3 linked regions of the Canis lupus familiaris genome follow. The protein of the gene in region 3 interacts with the protein of the main gene of each other region in a biochemical or structural test. Links are inferred from orthologs where the notes say so. Each region holds a gene or a part of one and is shown on either strand. Other genes may lie near its edges.

What was found.
Region 1: the proteins of TRIM72 (region 3) and INSR form a complex in vitro, tested with the Homo sapiens proteins (2 studies listed by BioGRID). The link is inferred for Canis lupus familiaris from reciprocal best matches to the Homo sapiens genes TRIM72 and INSR.
Region 2: the proteins of TRIM72 (region 3) and UBE2H form a complex in vitro, tested with the Homo sapiens proteins (2 studies listed by BioGRID). The link is inferred for Canis lupus familiaris from reciprocal best matches to the Homo sapiens genes TRIM72 and UBE2H.

Annotation. Positions count from the first base shown.
Region 1 is NC_049241.1:52,555,274-52,563,254, forward strand, and holds the start of INSR (insulin receptor), read right to left. Parts: upstream 5,011-7,981; 5' UTR 4,931-5,010; intron 1-4,930. UniProt on the Homo sapiens protein: Receptor tyrosine kinase which mediates the pleiotropic actions of insulin.
Region 2 is NC_049235.1:6,862,669-6,870,057, forward strand, and holds part of UBE2H (ubiquitin-conjugating enzyme E2 H), read left to right. Parts: intron 1-2,745; coding exon 2,746-2,874; intron 2,875-2,972; coding exon of another isoform or gene 2,973-2,980; exon of another isoform or gene 2,981-3,222; intron 3,223-7,389. UniProt on the Homo sapiens protein: Accepts ubiquitin from the E1 complex and catalyzes its covalent attachment to other proteins. E2 ubiquitin conjugating enzyme that transfers ubiquitin to MAEA, a core component of the CTLH E3 ubiquitin-protein ligase complex.
Region 3 is NC_049227.1:17,197,782-17,205,757, forward strand, and holds the start of TRIM72 (tripartite motif-containing protein 72), read right to left. Parts: upstream 4,073-7,976; 5' UTR 3,926-4,072; exon of another isoform or gene 3,803-3,925; intron 3,389-3,802; 5' UTR 3,382-3,388; coding exon 2,992-3,381; intron 1-2,991. UniProt on the Homo sapiens protein: Muscle-specific E3 ubiquitin-protein ligase that plays a central role in cell membrane repair by nucleating the assembly of the repair machinery at injury sites.

The sequences.
Region 1 (7,981 bases), on a different chromosome or scaffold from region 3:
TCCCCCACTCATGTTCGTGCTCTCTCTCTCCAATAAATAAAATCTTTCTTAAAAATATTAATTCAGTTGTAAGATATGTTTTAAAGTCTACAGAGAAAACAGTAACAATGGAGAACAGTGTTGCTGGGATTAGGGATGGAGAGAGTGTGACCATAAAGGGGTGTCCAGAGGGAATTTGGGTGATGGGACTGTTCTGTATCCCAGTGTGGGGGCAGTCACACAACTCTATCCGAGGGTTAAAACTTGGGCAGCCTGGGTGGCTCAGCGGTTTAGCACCGCCTTCAGCCCAGGGGGTGATCCTGGAGACCCAGGATCGAGTCCCACATCGGGCTCCCTGCAGGGAACCTGCTTCTCCCTCTGCCTGTGTCTCTGCCTCTCTCTGTGTGTCTCTCATGAATAAATACATTTTTTAAAAAAGAAGGTTAAAATTCACATAACTGTGCGCGCGCACACACACACACGCAATTTTTAAGATGCAAACAAAAGCACAGTCACTTCCCAGGAGAGAAATGGCATGATTTTAGGGACAAAGTGTTGCAGGGGGACTTTGATTTTTTCCTCTCCAGGTTTTTGTAAATTTTTTTGCAATGAGCATGCATTACTTGTTATTTTAATTAAAAACCCATAAATAGGGTCCCGTTGCAAAACATAAGCCAACATATGTATTCTTTTTTTTTTTTAGAAGATTTATTTATTTTAGAGAGAGAGAGAGAGAGAGCAGATATGCATATGCAGCGAGGAGGGGGGCAGGGGGAGAAGGAAAGAATCTCAAGCAGACTACCCGCTGAGCAGGGAGCCCGCACCGAGGCTCGATCTCACGACCCTGAGATGATGCTCTGAGCAAATCAAGAGTCTGACCCTCAACTGACTGAGCCACCTAGGCGCCCCTCACGGATGTATTCTTTTTTAGGACTTTATTTATTTAATAGGGAGAGAGCACAGGCAGGCAGAACAGCAGGCAGAGGGAGAGGGAGAAGCAGGCTCCCCGCAGAGCAGAAGCGGAGCTCAATCCCAGGACAGTGGGATCATGACCTGAACCGAGGGCAGAAGCTTAATGGACTGAACCACCCAGGCGCCCCTAATGTATGTACTCTTAATAGAAAGTAACACCAGGGGTCTTGAAAGAAAATCGCACAGCAGACACCACTTTCTTTTGAGTTCTAGACACAAAGCCGACAGCGAGGGATCCTCATTCAACGCCAAGATGACTGTGCAAATAAATAAATCTTGATACCATAGACACAGCTAAGGAGGGGACATCATGGTATTTTCTCCCCGTTGGAACCCATATGTTCAGAGAGCGTACATGTCTCTGTAAAGGGGAACACGCCACAGCATCCCCAAGCATTCGTGATGCACTCATGTCATACCAGGGGCCACGCAAGCGATTAGGCATGTCATCATGATCCTCAAAGAGTCTGTCATAAATCAGGAGTCCCAAAACTCTCCCCGAGAAGGGCCAAGATATACACATTTCTATGGGCCATGCAATTGCAACTACTCAACTCTGCCATTAGGGCACAAAAGCAACTGTTAAGATGATGCCAATAAAACTTTATTCACAAAACCAGGTGTGGGCAGGCGGGAGTTGGCCTGTGGGCCACAGTTTGATAGCCCCTGTTCTAGATGAAGGAGTCTGACTACGTAAATTCACAACTGGGCTGAGAGTGGATGGCAGTAGGGATTGGCCCTCTAGGAAGAAAGAGCTAACATCTGAGCCCAGGGAAGGGAGCAGAGAGGATGGAGAGAGAGCCAGGTGCAGGTGAAAACTCTGCAGGAAACCGTGCCTTCCTGCCCTCCCCGAGGGGAGGGAGTGGACAGTGGCAGGCCCCGAGAGGTCAGCTGGGGTGAGGCGACAGGAGACGCACTTGGGAGGTGAGGGATTACCTTCACAAGAGCCATGGGCAAAGCAAAGCGATGGAGACATTAGCCAGATGCTGCGGGCAGCACAGTGGGCCAGAGGTGAGAGGGAGGGTGGTTAGAGCCCACCGGGGAGGCTTGGCAGGGGAAGGCTGGAGGCGGGTGGTGGGCCGGGGGTCGAGGGGCGGGGTATTGATCCTGGAACAAAGAGAGCAGGGACCCAGGTGGGTAAGTGTCCTAGACAAAGAAAAAGTTATCTTCCTGAATGTGGCTGTTCTCAACTGGGGCGGCTGGCAATGCCCAGAGACACTCTTGATTGTCATGACTGGAGGGAGGGACGTGCTACTGGCATTTTGTGGGTGGAGAAGCCAGGGATGCGGCTCCACTCCTCACAATACACAGGACAGCCAGCCCCCCCACAACCGGGAACTGTCTCAACCCAAATATTAAGAGCGATGAAGTTGAGAGGATCTACTCTATCCAGGTTGAGTCACTGACGGAGTGGGCTGCAGTGGGGACCCCAGGGAGCCCCACCCCAATGACCTCCATGAGTGAGTGGGACAAGGATGGCGGGCAGGGCTCCAGGAGGGAAGCAAAAGTTAAGAATAACCTCAGGGAGGTTAGGAAGTAGGCAAAAGTCCTGCTCCGAGGGCCCCCAAAGCACACAAGAGGACACACAAGAGAGACATCCGAGGCCACCCTTGTGAAATGAGGAGTGCCCGAGAAACCAGGGCGCTCTGGAAGCGAGCCTCTCTCACCTTAATTAGCCAACTCGCTGGACTCCCCCCGAAGCCCCGCAGGTTTTTCTTTTAATTAATCCCACATTGCCTTCATCCTTTAACTTTGCAATGCCCCCAAGTAATCTCAGGCCACTGCCAGCCAGTCCGAGGAGAAACAGAGGGGGGAGACACTACCCATTTCAGCAGAGCAGTAGGGACTCCACAGGAGAGCGGGCCAAAGTAGCACATCCCATAGGACATCCCCCCCTAAGAAAGTCCTTCACTTCTTAAACATCACACCGCCACCACCCCAACCAAAACGCCCTACAGGCTGACATTAGAGATTAATGATCTGTAAAGTTTCTCGAGGTTTCCGAACCTCTGAGGGGCATCACATCTCATTTATTCAATAGGATTTTGTTAACCATTACCACAGGTCGGTGGGAGGGAAGCTCAAACCCAAGAGAGCCACCTTTTATGAAGAAATCAGGCCAAGTAGGGTCCTCAGCAGCTCTGCCGCCTAGTCAAACTGCCTCACCTGGGAAAAATGATAATAAACCCCACCCCACAAGGCCATGGTGGGGATTAACTAAGATTATATATTCGGAGCACATGGAAAAGCCCCCGCCAAGAGCTTGCTCTTATGACTATGTCTAAGTTGGGTATTACCCGAGGAATGAAAAAGCCATAGCTTGGAGTACTGGTGAGAACACGAAGAATATGAGCTGAACCAAGAACAAATATTTTAACCAAACACCTTCTATGTGCCAGGCACTGTTCTAGGCTCTGGAAACATCGCAGTGGACAAAAGAAGTATATGCCTCTACCCCTGTGGAAACTGTGAACATGTAAAGAAGCGGTAAATCCACCTCCTGGGCCCTGCAAGCCCAGGCACAAGTCCACAATAAATTACCAAAGCTACAAGGAACAGAAGAGCAGGGAACCACACACACACATGCACGTGTGCAGACGCACGCACATACATACATACACAAATCCTAGACTAGTCCTAACATTTGTCTGGAGTTTCTTAACAAGAACTCAAGCCGACTGCCACCTTTATTGAGCGCCCGCTGTATACCAAGCACTTGGGCCTCGGAACCGTGGTGTAACTGAGAGAGGAGCTCCGCAAACCTGGATTGTCAACGCCAGAGCCTGTGCGTGCTTTGCCAGGGACCTCATTCCCCATCAGGGAGCTCAGGAGCTGCTTTCCTTCCCTCCCCGACCCCTTCCTCACCATGACTGATTTCCTTTTATGGACAATTCTGAAAAAGTAACCCAACAGATATTTTTAAAGTGGGGCCTCAAACACCAGTGGGGAACTCCAGCCATGTTCTCTTAAAGGTTCTTCATTTCTTGCCCCACAAGCAGAAAGGACGGCTACCAAGCCCAAGGCCGATGCTGGAGTTGGGGTTTGCCTCCATCTGCTGCCAGCGCAGGGAGGCTGGGGAGGGAAGTCCATGGGGCTAGGGGGTGTGAGAGCCTCTCCTGAGGTTAGAGACCTCCCTGGACTGGCAGGTAAAAGAGCCCTTGTGAAAGGCAGAGCTGGAGGGGGGGGTGTGGGGGTTATGGGGAGACATAGGACATGCAGCAGTCCAGAGCCTCCCCAGGGCACCACACAGAGAGGTTAGAGTCCTCCCTCTGGCCCTGACTTTAGGGCAAATCGAACCGTCTCCTAACCTCAGCCTCAATTTACTCCTCTATGAAATGGGTAACGCGTATGGACCTCCGGAGGCCACTGTGAAGGTCCAGAGAGATCAGTCCGGGGCATTCGGTGACCCTAACTATAATAATCATAATAAAGACAACACCCCCCCCCCCGCCCCCTTCTGCTACAACAAAGGCCCTGTTGCCAAGGCGCTAGAGTTTGCCTCCGGACATCTGGAAACAGAACCCAAAAGTGTAAACATGGATCTGAAGTCCGGGTAGCCACCGGCCTAGGTCCAAGCAGAGGGGTGGGATTCTGCAGTGCCCCGCCTGGGGCGCCCATCCGCAGAGACCCCGAGGGACCCCGTGCGCCCGCGGCATGCGGTGCCCCCAGGTCGCCCGGACCCGGGGACCCAGCGGGCACCCGGGTCGCGTCTCCCGGGCGAGCGGGGCTTGGAGAGGGCCGGGCACGGGTGCGAGGCGCGTCGGGAGGGGCGCCCGCGGCGGGGCGGGCACTGGGGCAAGGTTCCTCGGGGCCGGGGCCCGCACGCGGGGCGCAGAACCGCGAGCCCAGGCGGGCAAAGGCCAAGGTCAGCGGCTTCCCGCCGCGGCCGCCCGCGCCCCCACACGCGCCGGGGAGGGCGCGGGGTCCCCGGTGGCCCCCCACGCGCCCGCCCGCCGCCCTCCGGGGCCCCCGGACTCACCCTCTCCGGGGTACAGGTGGCCCGCGGCACCCAGCAGCAGCGCGGCCACCGCCAGCAGCAGCGGCGCGGCGGCCGCCCCCCGCCCGGCCCGGGCGCCCATGGCTGCGGGAGCGCGGGGTCCCGGCGGCTCAGAGCGCGCGGCGCCGGCCCGCGGGGGTCATGCTCTGCGGCGCGGGGCGCGCGCCCTCCTCTCCGCGCCCGCGGCCCCGCCCGGGAGGGCCCCCACTCGGCCCCCGAGGGGCGCGGGGCCTCGGCCGCTGCAGATCCCGCGGCGGCGGCGGCGGCGGCGGCGGCGGCGGCGGCGGCGGCGGCGGCGGCCCCGACCCGGACCCCTGCGGCCCGGGGCCCGTCCCGCGATCTCAGGGCCCGGAGCCCCTCGCTGCGCCCCGGCCGCCCGGCTCTCCGCCCCGAGCGCGCTGGGCCGCGATCTGCGGACGCCGAGACAGACGGACGCGCGGACGGACAGACGCGCGGACGGGCGGGCACCTGGGCTGGCGAGCGGCGGGCGGGCGGCGGGAGCGAGGGCTGCTCGGCCCGTAAACAACGCGGCCCGTCAGCTGGGCCCCGCGCGGGTCGCGGGAAAAGGCGGCGCGGATCGAGACTCGGAAGGGACTCGGCGCCCGGGAGAGGCCCGGGAGAGGCCCGGGAGGGGGAGGCAGGACGGCCGCGGGGAGGCGCCGCCCCGCCCGCCGCCCTCGCCTGGGCCCCCCGCGCTGGAGGCGCCCGCACCCCGCCCCCCGCGCCCCGCGCCCCGGCGTCTCGGGCCTCGGGGGCGCCCCCGATGCCGACCCATCCGGACGGATCCCTTCCGTAACATTTTTCGCTATTTCGTTTCCCTTGTGGACTTTGGGAGGTTCGGTTTGATTTTTTTTTTTTTTTTTTAAGATTTCATTAAAACGCTGTTTATCTTGGTCCCTGGGGTTTCTGGTACTCCCGTAAATGTTGCACTCGCGTCACCCTCGTCCCAGTCCTGCCAGCGCGTCTCGGACTAGACGCGAGGGCGCCCCCGCCCCGCGCCCGGGGCCCTGCGGACGGCCACGTGCACGCGCGCCCAGGGCGCTCCGTGTGCTCCGTGGCAGGGGCGAGGGAGGGGGGCCTCAGGCGCGGCCTGGGGTGCAAGTCGGAGAAGAGACACCTGGGACAACGTGCAGAACCTCGCAGAAGAGCGAACCAGGCCCCACGGAGCCGGGTTCCAGCGCAGGTGGACACACCCCGTTTTCAACACACAGACCCACAGTCCCTGTGTGTGTCTGAATGTCCAGCAAGTGTCATTCACGAATAGGGCACCATAGCAGCCAAGCCACCTTCCTGAGCTGGGGGAAGGAGCCTTAGGTATAGAAAGCCAGCACCGAGTGGAATCTGGCTCCCCCTCCCCTCACTTCCTGTGTGGCCTTGGACGTGGGACTTTACTCTCTGGCTGGGTTGGCCTCGGCTCTATAATGCCTGTAACAATCCCTGCCGGTCCGATTTGACGAGGTGCAAGAGCAATAAAGCATAAGAAAGCGCCCGGCACAATTCTAGGCAGAGGGCGCTCATTCTTCCCCCTGGTCCATTACGCAAATATTAGTTAGCCAGGAGCTGAGCCCACTGTTCCTCTAAGGCACCAAACCTAATCCTGCCTCCTGGCTTTCACTCTGGCTGTTCCCTCCGCCTGTCCCTCCAGTGGCTGGCTGCCCCTCGGTGCCCCAGTGAGCCTTCCCTGATCACACTTTGCAAACGCCGCCTCCCCCCCCCCCCCATCCCTTTGTTCTGGTCCCTGTTATTTACATCACTCTAGTTTGTCCTGAAATTCTTTGGGTTTTTTGTGTATGGTCTCCCCACTCCATGAAGCAGAAATTCTTCACTATTTTACACCCAGCGCCTGATATATCTGTTGCTTAATAAATATTTGTTGAATGGAAGAACCAACATGCAATAATAAGTAATGAGGATTTACAGTGAGCAAAATAAACACACTCAGTTTCCCTGTAGACCTCACAGTCTGGCGAGAGAGGGGATCCTTGATTAAACAATCCTGGGGCCTAATGTGGGGTGGGGGTGGGGCGTAGGGAAAGGATCCTCCCAAGGAGGTGAGTTGAAGCTGAAATCTGGAGATGAGGAGGAGTCAGCCAAGGAAGACAGGAGGGAAGTGTTACAGGCTGGGAGCCCAGCATGAGCAGGGGCCCAGAGGTGGACAGGCAGGTGTTCCCCCAACTGACCCAGGCACTGGAGCTGGAGCCTAGAGGGAGGTCAAGCAAGCAAAGGTGGACTCAAAGGCAGAATTAGAAGGGGGAAGAGCCTTGGATAGATCATGTTAAGCCCTCTCCCAAAACACCTTCATCCTAAAAGCAATGGGAAGCTACTAGAAGGTGTACACAAAAGGGCTGACATAATTTGATTTTCTTTCCAATAATATCTGCGATGGGGCAAACATAGACCCAGAGAGAACACAGAGTAGCTGCAGTCCCAGAGTATCAAGAATTGTAGGTTCAATAAATGTTGTTCCCCTTCCTTCTTGTGCAAACCTGTCCAGAGCTGTGGGCTTCCCTCTGACCCGTGGGAGCCCCCAAAATCACCACATTCCCAGGCAGGAAGCGTGTGCTGAAAACCACGCGGAAGGAAACACGCTGTCCTCTGGAAATCCTTCAGGACAAGGACTTGCGTGCTGGACCTAAGTCGAAAGAATCATTTCGACTGATCATTTCAGTTGTGACCTGAAAATGAAGACACCACCACTTCCTGAAACCACTCACTGTTTCTTTCGCAAAACCCTCCAAGCCCTCCAAAAAAACAGCCATCTAAAAATTGAAAGTCAACCCTTGCCTTTTATTAAAATCATTGGAACAGAAGCAGAGACACCACCATTTGGCAATCTCTGACTGATTGATTCGGGCGAGAACCCTCTGTGCATGCCAAAACTAACGGTTGGACTTTTAAGAAGCAAATATTTCCACGGTCTCCAAGTATCTCTCTGCAAGATACTTGCTCATAATAAAGGAAAGGAAAAACAGTAGCTTCCTAGAGGAGAAAGCTGGCGGACATCACCTTAAATTAAGTGATCAAAGTTGCTTC
Region 2 (7,389 bases), on a different chromosome or scaffold from region 3:
CTACCATTCCTGTGTTAACTCCTCTGCTCCCAACTCATGGTGTTTGTAAAACCTGCCCACCTTCTCCTCTTGTTTTTTTTTTCTTTTGAGTTTATTTACCTTAATTTTTTAGACTTCTGTTTTATTTAAATATTTCAAACATGTGCAGAAGTAGAAAGGACATTCATAGGAAAATGCTATTTTTAAAGGTAAAAAAAGCAAAATGTCACTTGATGTATGAAGAGTAGAAGTTGTAAGCCTATTACCTTGAGATAACATTTTAGATGTTCTTATGCACACGTACTGTACATAGTTATAATTCTATAGAGCATACCTTTTTTTTTTAAGATTTTTTATTTATTTACTCATGAGATAGAGAGAGAGAGGCAGAGACACAGGCAGAGGGAGAAGCAGGCTCCATGCAGGGAGCCTGATGTAGGACACGATCTGGGGTCTCCAGGATCATGCCCTGGGCTGAAGGCGGCACTAAACTGCTGAGCCACCTGGGCTGCCCTAGAGCATACCATTTTATGGACTTTATCCTCTGACATTAGGAAAAGAAGTATAGGGCAGCCCCCGTGGCGCAGCGGTTTAGCGCCGCCTGCAGCCCAGGGCGTGATCCTGGAGACTCGGGATCGAGTCCCATGTCGGGCTCCCTGCATGGTGCCTGCTTCTCCCTCTGCCTGTGTCTCTGCCTCTCTCTCTAGCTGTGTCTCTATGAATAAATAAATTTAAAAAAAAAAAAAGGAAAATAAGTATATTTTATTCTCTAGTCTTTGAATAGTTTTCAGTGGTTTTATACCATGAATAATTACTGATTTGTTGAACATGTTGCTTCCTTTTTAAAAAAATAATTGTAAGTAAAATAGCAGTGTGATTGAGTTATCTTGAAAGGTTATTTTTGTTTTGCTTTTTTGATTAGGAATCTCTGCATTTATTTTCTGGTGTATGGGAATCGTGGTTATTTGGGAAGTTAGCTTTATGAAGGAGAAATAGCTCCAGTCTGTGTAATAATACCAAGTCTCTTTTACCTGGGCTCAAGGTAAACAAGCTCTGTCAGTACCTGGTGCATGAGAATGGGACTATGCTAGACATCCTGGGACTCTCCGTGACATTACTGTCTAGACCTGAGCTTATTTAAATATAAATTAGGGAAGCCTGGGTGGCTCAGTGGTTGAGCTTTTGGCCCAGGGCATGATCCTGGAGTCCCAGGATCGAGTCCCACATCGGGCTCCCTGCGTAGAGCCTGCTTCTCTTTCTGTTATATTTGTAGGGTTTTCTAAAGCAGAAGATGACAAACATTGGCTGCCTGGTTTTGTATATAAAGTTTTATTGAAACACATCCATATCCATTTGTGGGTGCTTTTGTGCTACAGTGGTAGAGCTAAATGTTGAATACATGCAACAGAGTCCAGATGTTGCCCACAAAGTCTAATTTACTCTGGCCATTTATGAAAAAGTCAGTCAATCCCTTTTCTCTAGACCAGGATTTCTCAGCTTCAGCACTATTGAATTTTGGTCCAAGTAATTAGGTGTTGTAAAGGGCTCTCCTGTGCATTGTAGGATGTTTAACAACATCACTGCCTCTATCCACAACGGCTGGTACACCACCTGTCCCCTTTCCCCATCCAGGTGTGACAACTAAAAATCTTTCCAGACATTATAGGATGTCTGCTGGGGAGCAAAATCACCCCTGGCTAAGAATCACTAAGCTAAATTGATGTGGCTTGACCAAACATTCATTTATAATACTGCATAAAAGTGCTCACTCTAAAGGGGAAAAAATATGTTAAGAGAGCAGAATAAATAAAAGAATAGTTTTATGCTGCTATACTCTAGCATTCCTTCCAGAAACAGAAATTTTTCTATAAAACATGATAGAGTAACTGGACTAGGGCAGAGAGCTGGAAGCACTAAGATTCCACAGTTTACCGTCTGCTGAGCAGCAAATAGAATGGAAGTTATAGCATCTCTGAAGTGATGGGAACATGTAGTTTATTTTACAGGTTTGCAAGGCCTATTTCCTTTATAAAACACTATATGACGGCAGAGTTCTTGTTGACTCTGCTGTGTGTGTAAATGTTATCCGTGTATACCCAGCACCTTGTGCTGCATCTGGCAAGAAGGGAGTTAGTAAATGTTTATTAAAATGATTGTCAATAAATTCAATAAATTGGTACTTCTCTGTCTTATTATCTATGATTTTAAGTGGCCTATGTAGATTCCTACTTTCATTAGCCAGAAGAATTTAAAAACCGGTTCTATTTACCTCCATTGAAGGTGATGAGAATTGAATTAAACATCAGGCCTATAAAATTGTGTTCTTCTGAGATCTGGTGCTTGAATACTTTTCAGAGTGGGGATTTTCAAATTTGTAGAAAGAGGCAATATTAAGAGACTACCCATTTTGTAAGGATATAGAGTGGTAGAGTTTTGGGGTACACATTTTAATTAAATGATGTATGTACTATTTCTGAATTCTTGGTTTAAAACATGGAGTGAATTCAAATTGGGATGATTGCCTTTGAAAGTGGAGTATCAGGTATACCTTTATTTGGTTCTTTAAATTAAAATTAAATATTAAATTTTAAAATTGGTATCAAAAGGAATATGTTATAGAGATCACATGTAATGGAGCACACTTTTATGGAACACTTTCATGTGGTTGATTATTTCAGAAGATAAGCGGTTTTGACTACTGAACTCAAGTGAATTTTAGGTGACTTGTTTTTTTCCATGCATGACATATTTCTGTTTGTTTTTCAGATCTTACCAATATATTTGAGTCCTTCCTGCCCCAGTTGTTGGCCTATCCCAACCCCATAGATCCTCTCAATGGTGATGCTGCAGCCATGTATCTCCACCGACCAGAAGAATACAAGCAGAAAATTAAAGGTAAGAAGGCAAATAGTTTAACCTGGAGACAGAAAAACTTACATGTACTGGGCTTTCATCATTAAAAGCCCTTCTTAGTTACTAATAATTTTTCTCAGGCCTTTAAAGAGACCACTGTCTGTGGGCTGGAGCGGAGCTCACTGGCCCCTGAATGTCCCAGCAAGGAAGAGGAGAAGGAGCGAGAAAGAGCAAAAGGAAAGATGAGAAAATGGGAGACACCTGTTGGGTGGTGGTACATGTAACCCTGCCGGAAATCCCCATGGACCTCTGTACAAAAGAATCTTAGCCTCCATTTGTTTCCTCTTGTCCTATAAAATTAGAAAATTGGATTCGAGAATGAAATATTAATTGAAGGGCATAATCTCACATTTGTTTACAGATAGTATCATCCTGGCCTTTCAGAAAAGCAGTTAACTTTGGAAGTTGGGAAATGCCAAATTTATCCTTATACTTTTTTTATTGTATCATTTTACCTGTTGAATTAAGAATACCCAGCTGGCTTCTTTTCTTGGCCCCATACTGATTTTCTTTTACTTTGGAAAGTTTACATCTGGGCACATTTATCTGCTGTAGATACCTAGCCCCAGGGCCCAGCTTTCTAGTAAAACGTGAAATGTACTGTTCAAAGTTAGAAGTGTGCTGGTAGTAGTAGTGCTAGTTTGTCCATCCTTTAGGATTTAGAATCCTACTATTTTCTCATTCTTAAATAGTTTACCTGCTAATGAGACATAAAGTTCATTAAAATGAACTTTTGGTTTCAAGAGAACATCTGTAGCTTCACCCTGGCTTACTGGTGTTCATTTTTATTCTGCATGCTTGAGATCCTTCATAGTGAAAAGTCTAGATAAAGTTCCACCAGAAAGGAAAGGAATTCAGAGTCCATGAAAGTAGGTCTGCTCTTCTTACCAAGTGACAGGCATTGGTATTTACCTAATTTTTAGCATGACTTCTGCCAATTGTGTGGCCCCTCTGGGGCCCATCTGCGGGAGATGGCAGTAGGAATAATTTACGAGCGCCTGGAATATATAGGTCTTCCCTCTTAACTGTGCTGGTATGAGACAGGCACATCTCACGCTTTCCTTTTGTTTTCTCATTCTCCCCTGATCTTTGTAGGGTACTGTTTGGCGCTTCTGTTGAGATAAAATAGAAATAAATCTACTCTAATTAATTTACTTAAGTCTCAGGTATTTTGCAAATTAATACCTAATTTATGTAGCAGAATATCTGTATAGCCAAACAAGTATTTCAAAGGAAAAAAAGTCCATTTCAACCAGATAAAGTTCTATTATGAGACTGTGTTAAAATTGTGACACAAACATCACTTAACAGTATCTGCAGCCCACAGATACCTCATTGCAGAGCGTATTTCTCTAGTTCTTACATTCATTGTGCCTCAGCAACATGATTCTTGTTTTAGTACATATCTGCTCTAGCACCAATTACAAAAGGAATCCAATCTACATTTTTTTAAAGATTTTATTTATTTATTAGAGAGCACGCACACGTAAGCAGGGCGGGGTGGGGCGGGGAGGATAGAGGGAGAGAGAAGCAGACTCCCCAGTGGGCAAGGAGCCAGATGCGGGGCTGGATCCCAGGACCCTGAGATCATGTGTGACCTGAGCCAACCAGGCACCCTATGTTTTTATTTTAGAATGGCAAGCTCTAGCTTAGGGAATTTGAGCTTCCTGAAATGTCAGTGTTGGCTATCATTTTGTCTTCCTGCGTAATGTGAAAATCAGGGCTGATTGCTTAAACACGCTCCCCTGGCCCCCAGCCTGAGGTTGTTCTCCCAGTTCTCCTGCACCCAGCCTGTCAGAGGCATCCCTGCTTCAGAAGCCTGTGTCTGCTCCCATGGACCTCTTGAGGAGTCCTGTTCTTTATTTCCTGTCATTTTCAAACTCCTCACTTCCTTGCCCTAAACTCCTGAGGTCTAGTTTGTTTTCCCTCCTCCTGTGTTCTCATTTCTTCCTAATCATATGCACCCTGCTCAAGAACCATTTTCCAGACTTCTCTGCAGCCTTGCTATTTTGCCCCTTCCCTTCCTGAAAACCTTTCTCATTCCATTCCCAAACATGGTCAATGGTCATTCTTTTAAGATTCAGTCATTTAACCCACCCTCACTCTCCCTCCCCACTTGGGGAGCTGATTCACCCTTCACAGCTACCTCCAGGTAGGTGATTTCCAAAAATGTGTCTAGATGGGCCTTCTCTCCCAGGCTGCTACCAGACATTTCCACGCTTGGTAACCTTTCTTACTGTGGATTTTAGTCAATGTTCATATATAGTTGATTTTTTAAATTGTGTAAGTATGAGCTGCCTGTAGGATAGGACACTTGCCTGCTTAGAAACCTTTACTGAGTGACATCTTAGCCTGCCATTCATGGCTCTCTCTCACTGTGTGGTGAGCTCCATCTTTGCCTTTACTCCTAAATGTATCACTATGTGACCATCAAATTGGATGAGTTTGCCAACTATATTCCCTTCCTTAGGGAAAGTTGCAACCCTACAAAAACAAACAAACAACAACAAAAAAAACCCAGAAAATAACTTAACCATATGCTCACCATCTAACTACAGCAAGACCTATACATTTTGCCTTATTTGTTTCAGATATAAACATAGTTCTCAGTGTTGTTTTAACCTCCCGGCCATGGCCTTCTCCCTTGTGCTTTTGGCAAGGCTGTGCATTCCCCTGGAGTGGCATGTCCTATGCTGCAGCTAAGAATTCCTTCCAGGGTCAGGTCAGGTGTGCCTGGCTTCCTGGCTCTCAGAGGCCAGGGTCCCTTCCTCCACACTTCCCTCCGGTGGCACTAACTGCTTTTATCTGCATCTGTGTCTCCTGCTCATTAGTGACCTTGCTCTTTATTCTTCTATCTCCTAAAAACCCTTGTCCTAGTAAGCTTAGCACTTAAGACCTATTTATTTCCTCAAATATACTAAAGAGGACTAATAGTATCACCTTATAGCGTCAGAGAGAAATATCAAAGTGCAGCAGCTTTCTACAAATGCAGGGACATAGCTGACCCAGTAGAGGGTAAAAATAACATTTCTAAGACTGTAATAAACATTTCTCTCTCTTTGAAGAATAAATTCAGGTAAGTTCTTACCTAATCAGAAGCTTTTAGAACCTCATCTCCACATAAAACTTTATTATAATGAGTTTGTAGGGTTCTAAGAAGTCTACAAACTTTTTCTCTAAAGGGCCAGATTTGGCCACAAATAGAGTCTCTGTCACATATTCTTTCCTCCCCCTCCCCCCCCCTTTTTTTAAACAACCCTTTAGGGACTCCTGGATAGCTCGGTTGAGCATCTGACTTCAGCTCAGGTCATGATCCCAGGGTTCTGGAATTGAGTCCCACATTGGGCTCCCTGCTCAATGGGGAGTCTGTTTCTCCCTCTCCCCCTGCCACTCCCCCCACCATTCATGCTTGCTCACTCTCTTTCTCTCAAGTAAATAAATAAAATCTTTAAAAATAAATAACCCGAGACTCCTGGGTGACTCAGTGGTTGGACGTCTGCCTTTGGCTCAGGGCGTGATCCCAGAGTCCCCAGGATTGAGTCCCATGTCGGGCTCCCTGCGTGGAGCCTGCTTCTCCCTCTGCCTCTCTCTCTGCCTCTCTGTGTCTATTATGAATGGGTAAATAAAATCTTTAAAAAAAAAAAACAAAAAACAGGGACGCCTGGGTGGCTCAGTGGTTGAGCATCTGCCTTCGGCTCAGGTTGTGATCCTGGGGTCCGGGAATCCAGTCCCACACTGGGCTCCCTGCATGGAGCCTGCTTCTTCCTCTGCCCGTGTCTCTGCCTCTCTCTGTGTGTCTCATGAATAAATAAATAAAATCTTCTAAAAAATATAACCCTTTAAACATAAAAAAGATTCTTAGCTAGCCCCTGTGTGACATCATTCAAACTTGGCAGGCCCCTTTGACCATGTTCCTCATCTTTGGCATTTGGCCCCTGTGATTCCATAGGAGAAGAAACAAAACGTAAGGACCGGCGTGTTTCCCCCCTTCTGGCGCTCTGGATAGGGTCTGTCTTACCTTTTCATATTGTGTGTGTGTGTAGGCTATTTACTTAAGAACAGTGTGCACTTAGAGTTTTTAGGAACAAGTTTGTTTGTTCAGCAGTTCTTAAAATTCTCTCTCAGCCTAGGCTATAGATGCATAAATCTTCAGGTAAATAATAGATGATCAAGTCACTTGGGCTCACTGTGTCTCCAGATAGCAGCTCATTCCTGAGCAGATTGAGAGACTGTTTTCACCAGCTGCTTCAAAAACCTGACAGGCAGGATCTGTTTAGACTAAAATCTTTTCCTAAAATAATAGATTTGGGCTGACTGTAATTATATAACTGCAAGTCTAAAAATGATGGGGGATTTCCTTATAAATTACTATGGAATCATAACTAGTCCTGCTCTACCTGGGAGGTGAATAGTTCTATTAACAGAGAGAGAAAAAGAAAGGATGGGGTTTGCACTTCCCCAGTCCTGCAAGGTTGGAGGAATGCAGCCACATGGATA
Region 3 (7,976 bases):
CCCATGCCCTCAGCAGTTAGCACCCCTGGCACAGGTCTTTGTGACAGTGACAAACACAAATGTGCTTTGGTGTCCTCCAGCAGAGAGGTACAGCACTGGCACACAGCAGGCCTCTCTGGGTGAGTGTAGAATGTATGAAGAAGAAATGCAACCTCCTCCTCTCCCTGGGCTTTACCCCATCCTTAAAAGCAGAACCATAGAGTGCCTGGGTGGTTAAGTCTGCCTCCGGCTCAGGTTAGGGTCAGGGTCCTGGGATCCAAGTCCCACACTGGGATCCCTGCTCAGCAGAAAGTCTGCTTCTCCCTCTGCCCTTCCCCCTCTGTTCATAATCTCTCTCTCTCTCTCTTTCTCCTTCTCTCTCTCTCTCTCTCAAAATCTTAAAAAAAAGAAAAAGGCAGAACCATAGCAAAACACCCCAGTCAACCTTCCTGCACACCCAAGGGCTGTGGGGGCAGGCCATTTAATAATGTCTGCTGTGTTGGGGCACCTGGCTGGCTCAGTCCATAGAGCGCGCGATTCTTGAACTCTGGGTGGTGAGTTCCAGCCCAGGTTGGAGGTAAAGCTTACAAAAAAAGAAAAGAAAGAAAAGAAGAAAGGAAAGAAGAAAGAAGGAAGGGAAGGGAAGGGAAGGGAAGGGAAGGGAAGGGAAGGGAAGGGAAGGGAAGGGAAGGGAAGGGAAGGGAAGGGAAGGGAAGGGAAGGGAAGGGAAGGGAAGGGAAGGGAAGGGATGTCTGCTATGTCACCAAACACACTTGTGGGCTGGATCCTACCCTGGGCCTGTCAGTTTGTGAATCCTGAAATGCAGGTGTAGGGAGACTCCTAAGAGCTCTTGACAAAGCCACCCCTTTGCAGGGGAAAGGGATCGGAGGGTTCCAGTCCCGCCCCTGTGCCTTCCAACCTCAGCTTCCTCTTTTGCAGGATGGGAGCAGTCTGCCTCACTTCATTGGTGGTGTGACAAATCCGCGGCCTCCCCCCCACTCCCCTAAGGGAAACTGAGAGACCCTCTAGGCTCTGGGGATGAGCGGAAGCCCCAGGATTGCACCACTGGGCTCATGGCCCCCTGGCCAGCCCCCAGGTCACGCTCCTTCCTGGGACGTTCTCCGGGGCCACGCCCGGCCTGCTGCAGAACAGGGCAGACCTGGTGGTTCTCAGCATGGAGCCGTCAGAGGTTCTGGGGCGACAGGACTAAGCCATGAGGAAGAAGCGTGACGCCTTCCTGGCTGCGCGGGGGCTGGGGAAGGGGGCGCGGCGGGGAACGACTTGACCACAGATGAGCTCCAGAAGTTCAAACTGAAGCTGGGGGGGAGCCGCTGCACAAAGGCTCTCAGAATGTTGCGCGGGGGCCGCTACGGCAGCCCCCAACCCACTATGCCTGGGACCCCAAAGCAGTCTGCTGCGCGTCATTGGCATGCAGGTTTCAGGCGGTCACGTCCGTCCCCCGCCCCCGGCAGATCCCGTTCGACCACTCTTGCTTGAGTCCTGGTGCACAGTCTCTGGACCCAGCCCCCTTCTTCGTGGCCAAGGACCCAGGCATTCAGCCGCGCCCCAGCCTTCCTGTCTCCTCCTTCAGATCCTTCCTTGGGTCCCTTCTTCAGAATTCCTGCCGGCGCCTCCCTGCGGTTTAGGATTGGACTAATGCAGATCCTGGCAGAAAGTATCCCGCCCCACCTGCCCCCTCAAGGCTCCTGGGTCACCTGGTGCTCTGTTCCATGTCATAGACTCTATTCCCTCTTCGCAGATCTCTCTCTCTCTCTCTCTCTCTCTCTCATTCTCTCTCTCTCTCTCGGGACCAGATTGGGAGTTCTGGGGTTACCAGCATAGGTGAGCCTGGGTTGGGAAAGCTCCTGGGAAGAGGAAGCTCCTACACTGGTCTAGGAGACCACCAACTGGCCTAGGCAGGACTGGGCAAGGCAGGAGGGGGAGGGTCGCTGAGGCTGTGTCCCTGTGGGGGGAGTCCGGTCCGGGGGCCTCAAATACCAGCTTGAGGACAGGGACATGCCCTCTTTAGAGGGGAGGGGGGCAAGCAGAAGAGCAGGGCAACGCTGATGTTCCTGGGTAAAGATAACCCGCTGAAGCACAACCCACCTATTCGCGAGAAGAGGGGGGCAGCTCCACCCCGGGGGCTAGTCCTCAGCCCCCCCCCCCTCTAGAGCCCGCCTCCTCCCGCCCCCACACCTGTCGTTTATTGTTCCGAAGCCCAACAAATTTTCCCTGATGGACCTTCCTGGGCCTGTGTTAGACTCATACTCTCCTGCAGCAACTGCGTGTGATTTGCCACACGTCTGACCTGGGCGAGCCGGCGTGTGTCTGCGTCTCTATTTGCTAATGCCTGGGTGTCTCTTCTGGGCCCCCGTGGGAACCACGAACCTTGGGGTGCGCACAACTGTGTGTGGGCTCTGGAAGCGTTCCAGACTTCCAGCCCCATCCAGAAAAGCAGCCTGGCTCTGGGTCGCGGTGCCAACCTGGGCATGCTCACGGAGGTGCGTCGCCAGGCCGGCCTTGCCCTCCCCGCTGGACGTGCCCCTCGGGCCTACACAAGCAAGTTCTGCGGCTCGGAGCAGAACGTGGACCTCAGCGAAGCAGCCTGGCGGCCGCCCGACCCCAAACGCCACCCCTCTAGTCCCAGCCTCCGGAGCCTCCGCCCAGCTGCCCGCCCGCGCCCCGGCCGCAGGCACGCGTTCTCCTCCCGGCTCAGCGCGCTCTGCCCGGAGGCCGCGGCCCCCGCATCCCCGGCCGCTCGGGTTCCCCAGCGCCCGCCCCTGAGTGCCGGTTCCAGGCTCGCCTCTCCGCCAGACTCCGCCTTCCGGGGCCAGTCCCCATTCCCGAGCGGCCTCGCCCCGCCCCCTGGAGTTCCCCGCTCCTCCAGGCGCCCCGGGCCCAGAAGCTCCGAATCCAGGTCAACGCGGCGACCCCAAGAGCGGCCCGACCCCGCTGCGGCCAACAATCCGGTCCCACCGCCCCCCGCTCCGCCGGAGGCCGCGATCCCCGCACCTTGAGGCGCGCGTGGGCTTCGGCGGCGGGCAGCAGGCGGTGGCCGCGGTGCGAGCCGAGCGAGGCGCACACGCCGCACACGAGCGCTCGATCCTGCTCGCAGTAGATGCTGAGCGGGTCTAGGTGCTCCTCGCAGTGGCCCTGCGGCACCTGCGCCAGCCCCTCCACCAGGCGCGCCAGCTGCTGGTTGGTGCTGAGCGCCTGTGGCCGCGTGAGTGCCTGGCAGCACGGGCAGGGCACGGTGCCGTCCGCCGCCGGCTCCCCAGCCACGCGGCTCAGGCAGGCGCGGCAGAAACTGTGGCCGCACTCGGCGGTCACCGGCGCGTCAAACAGCTGCAGGCAGAGCGGGCAGGACAGCTCCTGGTGCAGGAGGCCCGGCGCGGCCGACATGATGGACCTGGGTGGAGGAGAGGCCCGTCAGGGAGGCTCAGCGGAGCCACGAACTAGCCCCGGGCCAGACCAGATTGGGAGGATCCCCAGCCTATAAAGACGTCAAGTCTCAGACAGAAAGGGGCTCTGGTTCTGGCCAAGAGGAAAGGGGGACTCGGTTTCCATCCCCAAAGAAGTATCAGCTGCATTTCTCAGCCCCAGCCCCCAAAATAGTGGCTAACGGGGACCTTGTCTCATACCCAGTTCCTAAACACGAGTCCAGGGTGTGGTCTTAACCACTGACTTTCCCTTAGCTCAGCCTCAGGCCGCAGCCCCTGCCCCAAATTCCCCAGAGCCCCCACCAGCTACCCTCCTACCTCTCCAGGATCCCCAGGCCTCCCCTCCCCCACATCTCCAGGGCCACAGGACCCACAGGACTCACAGGGCTGTTTGGAGATCTTGGGCAAAAAGAGACTCCCAGGAGGCCCACTCAAGGTCAAGCCTAGCCTTAGGGAAGACAGGCAAAGGACAAGCAGCAAGCTCAGAGCAAGGGCAGGGGACTCACAGGCGAAGCCAGCAGTGGACACCACGGGTGGAAGCACAGAGTGAATAGTAGATAGACCCTCCCAGACTGAGCCCTGGCCCCAGGACTATATTTAGTTGTCCTGCCCACACTTTGCCATCACTTCTGGAAACCGTTCTAAAAGTGAAGACTGAGTGGTCAGCGGGCAAGCATCACATGTCAAGGCCACCTGTCCTGGCCCATCGCACTGTCCCCTCCCTTGCTCAGCCTGGAGCCAGAAATCACAACAAGCGGGAAGACAGGGCCTCCCATACCACAGAAAAGACAGAAACGTTTAGGAAGAGTCTCTCCTTTCTCCCTCACCCCACCTCCACGGATTCCCCAGCCTCCCCCTTCCCTGCCTGTGGCCCTTCCCCAGCTTGTCACCCACTTATTCCCCAAGTTTATGGCTCTCCCAGGTCACACTGACAGTACCAGCTCCACCTGCAGGCGGACAGGACCTCAGCCCACTCTGAAAGGTTTTCTGCCTCCCAAAGTTGAGGGGAAGGTCTCTCCAGTGCCCAGCACAGGCCCTGGGGCAAAGTGGGCCTCCCTAAGTGCTTGGGAAATGAGTGATAGAGGGACAGACGAATAAATGAAGGGACTGAACCCATAGCCTGTAGCCCAGAAGCTGATTCTGCCCTGAGAGCTTTGGGCTTTTACACGCTTAGACTTCAAATCTCAGTTTAAACTGTATTCAGGATGAAAACCAAAGTCCTCAGCACTGTGGCCTACGAGTCCCTGCTGAAGCTGAGCTCATTCTCCTCTCAGCCCTCCCCACCTGCTCACTCCAACTCCAGCCTTGGCCTTCAGACTTGTCCTCCCCCCCCATCACCACCCCCCCCCCCAGCACCTGGAACACTCCTTCAAACATGGTTCCCATCCTATTCTCCCTCCAATCTTTACCCGGGGTCACCTTTTCAGTGAGGCTTTTCCTAACTCCCTGATTTTAACTCTCACATCTCCTTTCCCTGCTCTATTTTCCCTATAACATTTATTAACATCTGACAAGCAATATTTTACTTATTGCTTTTTTTTTTTTACTGATCTCTCCTACCAGAATATAAATTTTGTACACTGCTTGTCTCCAATTTAGAATAAAGCATGAGCACACTGCAGGTGCCCAAAAAATACTCAGTGAATGAATAAACACACAAGCTCACTGGGTTCTTCTCTTTTGGCCTCTCAGACACATTTTCTTAGCCTTTCACTGGATTTGTCCATTTCTCCCTCCCTCCATCACATTCTGAGGTTCTGCTTAGGTTTCAGTGATAATCTCCCTCTTTGGACTCTTTTTTTGCCTCTCTTGGGTTTTGATGTTCACTTTTATTAATTTTATCCCAAATGTGCACACGAGGTGTTCTGGATCAAAGACAGACTTATTCCATCTCTCCTAGCAAATAGTAAACATCTGGCTCCCTGTGCCCTAGGATGATAGGATGAGAGCCAAGTTAACTGCCCCATGAGGGTAGCCAGACACCCTAGAGGTGAGCAACAAGGGAGACTTCCTTTCCCTGCTTATCAAAGAGAAGAAAGCACCTGTTCCACTCCCCTGCTTAAAGATCTTCTCACTCCAACTCTTTGGCAAATAACTAAATCTCCGCAGGAGCCAGGTAGCTCCCTACACACCTCAGCTCAAATCTTTGGGTTTTTCCTTTTGTTTTTGTTTTCTATTTCAAGAATATATTTCATTTAACCCAATGTATCCAAAATATTATCATTTGACATGTAACCAATATGAAAATTATTAATGCGGGGTGCCTGGCTGGCTCAGTGGGTAAACCATACGACTCTGGATCTCGGAGTCATAAATTCAAGCACCATGTTGGGCGTAGAGCTTACTTTTAAAAAATTATTAATGAAATATTTTACATTCTTTCATACTAAGTCTTTGAAAACAGGTATGTATATTATACTTAGAGTACATCTCATTTTAGACTAGCCTCATTGCACGTGCTCAAGAGCTGCATATTTATAGTAGCTATCAAATAGGACAGTGGGGACTCCTGGGTGGCTCAGCGGTTGGGCACCTGCCTTTGCCTCAGGTCGTGATCCCGGGATCCAGGATCAAGTCCCCCATCAGGCTCCCTGCATGGAGTCTGCTTCTCCCTCTGCCTGTGTCTCTGCCTCTCTCAGTCTGTGTCTCTCATGAATAAATAAATAAATAAGTCTTAAAAAAAAAAAACATAGGACAGCACAGCTCTATCATCTTGATGATCTTATAATTGATTAATATGAAAGATGGTCTTATTAAGTCTCGTTGATGAAATATAGATTAACTCTCATGTGCTTGATCAAAATCCTAGGAAAATGCAGACTTTGGGGAGAAAAAGCAGAGCATTCTTGTATTTACATACAAAAGTTGTATTTATGAACTGAACCTCCCATTCCTTCTAATAATGTTAAATCCCAAAGCAGTGTCTAGATAAACAATGAATTGCATTTCAAAAGCATGAGTAAACTCTAAATATGACAAGTCTTTGGGCTTGTCTCCAGGTTCTGAAGCTCATTTCTTCTTAAACACGAGGCTCTTACATGTTGCCTGTTGGCCCATTTAGGAAGCTACCCCAGGCTTCCTGGCACCTTTGGGCTTAACCTAGGAACCTTGTACAGGCTATCATCATTTAGGCCCCTGAGGAAGAGATAAGTTTTATTATTCTTTTGGATCAGAGCAACTGACAACACAAATGACTACAGATTTTACCCTCAGGATATTGAAAGTCTCAGGAAGCTACTAGAGCTTTTTACCAGAACCCTGAGAAACCCAGGGGAGTTTGATTTCCCCAAACAGGAGAGGGTAGGGATTAGAGTGTATCTGGAGCTCATCTCTGAAACCACAAACCACTTTACTTCCACTCAAAAAGTCAACATCCTGAATGTCGATCTCACCTGGAGTTTCCATCACTGGCAGGCTGAGGCTGAGGGTTATGGTCAATAGGATGTGGGTGCCCAGGACAGAAGATGACATCTCTCGCTGTAGATGGGCCAGATCTGATCTCTGACCCATGGAGGGACATTGCATGTCTACAGCCAGTTGGAGGAACCATATCTGGGAGAGGAGGAAATAAAGACTTGTGTTGCTAACTGTAAGATGGAACTCTATGAAGTCCCTGGGGCCCAGAGGCTCAAAGGGGGCAGCTTGTCCTTGTCCTATCATGCAGATCTTCCCAATGGCTGAAGTCAGAAATGCCATAGAAGGTGAAAGCTCCTTGTATTGGATAAATGCTGAAAGAAGGTGGAAATCCCCCAATCAGGACCAGAGCAAAAGCAGGTCCTGAATGCTGATGTCACAAACTCATGCTGGCTACTCTCAGGAAGATCACCTACCTTTCTGAATTCCAGGATCTTCAGCTACAATATGAAGATAAATAGGATAATAATACCATCCCTGTAGGGTTGTTATGAGGATTAAACTAGATATTATATTAAATAAATACCAGAGGGCAGCCCGGGTGGCTCAGTGGTTTAGCGCCACCTTCAGCCCAGGGTGTGATCCTGGAGACCTGGGATCAAGTCCCGCACTGAGCTCCCTGCACGGAGCCTGTTTCTCTCTCTGCCGGTGTCTCTCATGAATAAATAAACACATACATACATACATACATACATACATACATACATACATACATGCCAGAGACAGTGTGCTGGCACCCAAGGGCCTATAAGGTAGTGACTGCCACCACCAGGCTCAAATCTTGACTCCACTCTTTCCTCATGTGACTTTGGGCAAGTCACTTAACCTGATTTTTTCATTTGTAAAATGGGAATCATGTAAGGATTTTTATTAAGACTCTTAGAGGCAGGGTACCTGGATGGTTCAGTGTTTGAGCGTCTGCCTTTGGCTCAGATCGTGATCCCAGGGTCCTGGGATCAAGTTCTGCATCAGGCTCCCTGCAGGAAGCCTGCTTCTCCCTCTGTGCCTCTGCCTCTCTCTCTCTCTCTCTCTCTCTCTCTCATGAACTAATAAATAAAATCTTTTAAAAAAAGACTTAGATTGGGGCACCTGGGTGGCTCAATCAGCTGAGTATCCAACTCAAGGTTTTATCTCATCAGGGTC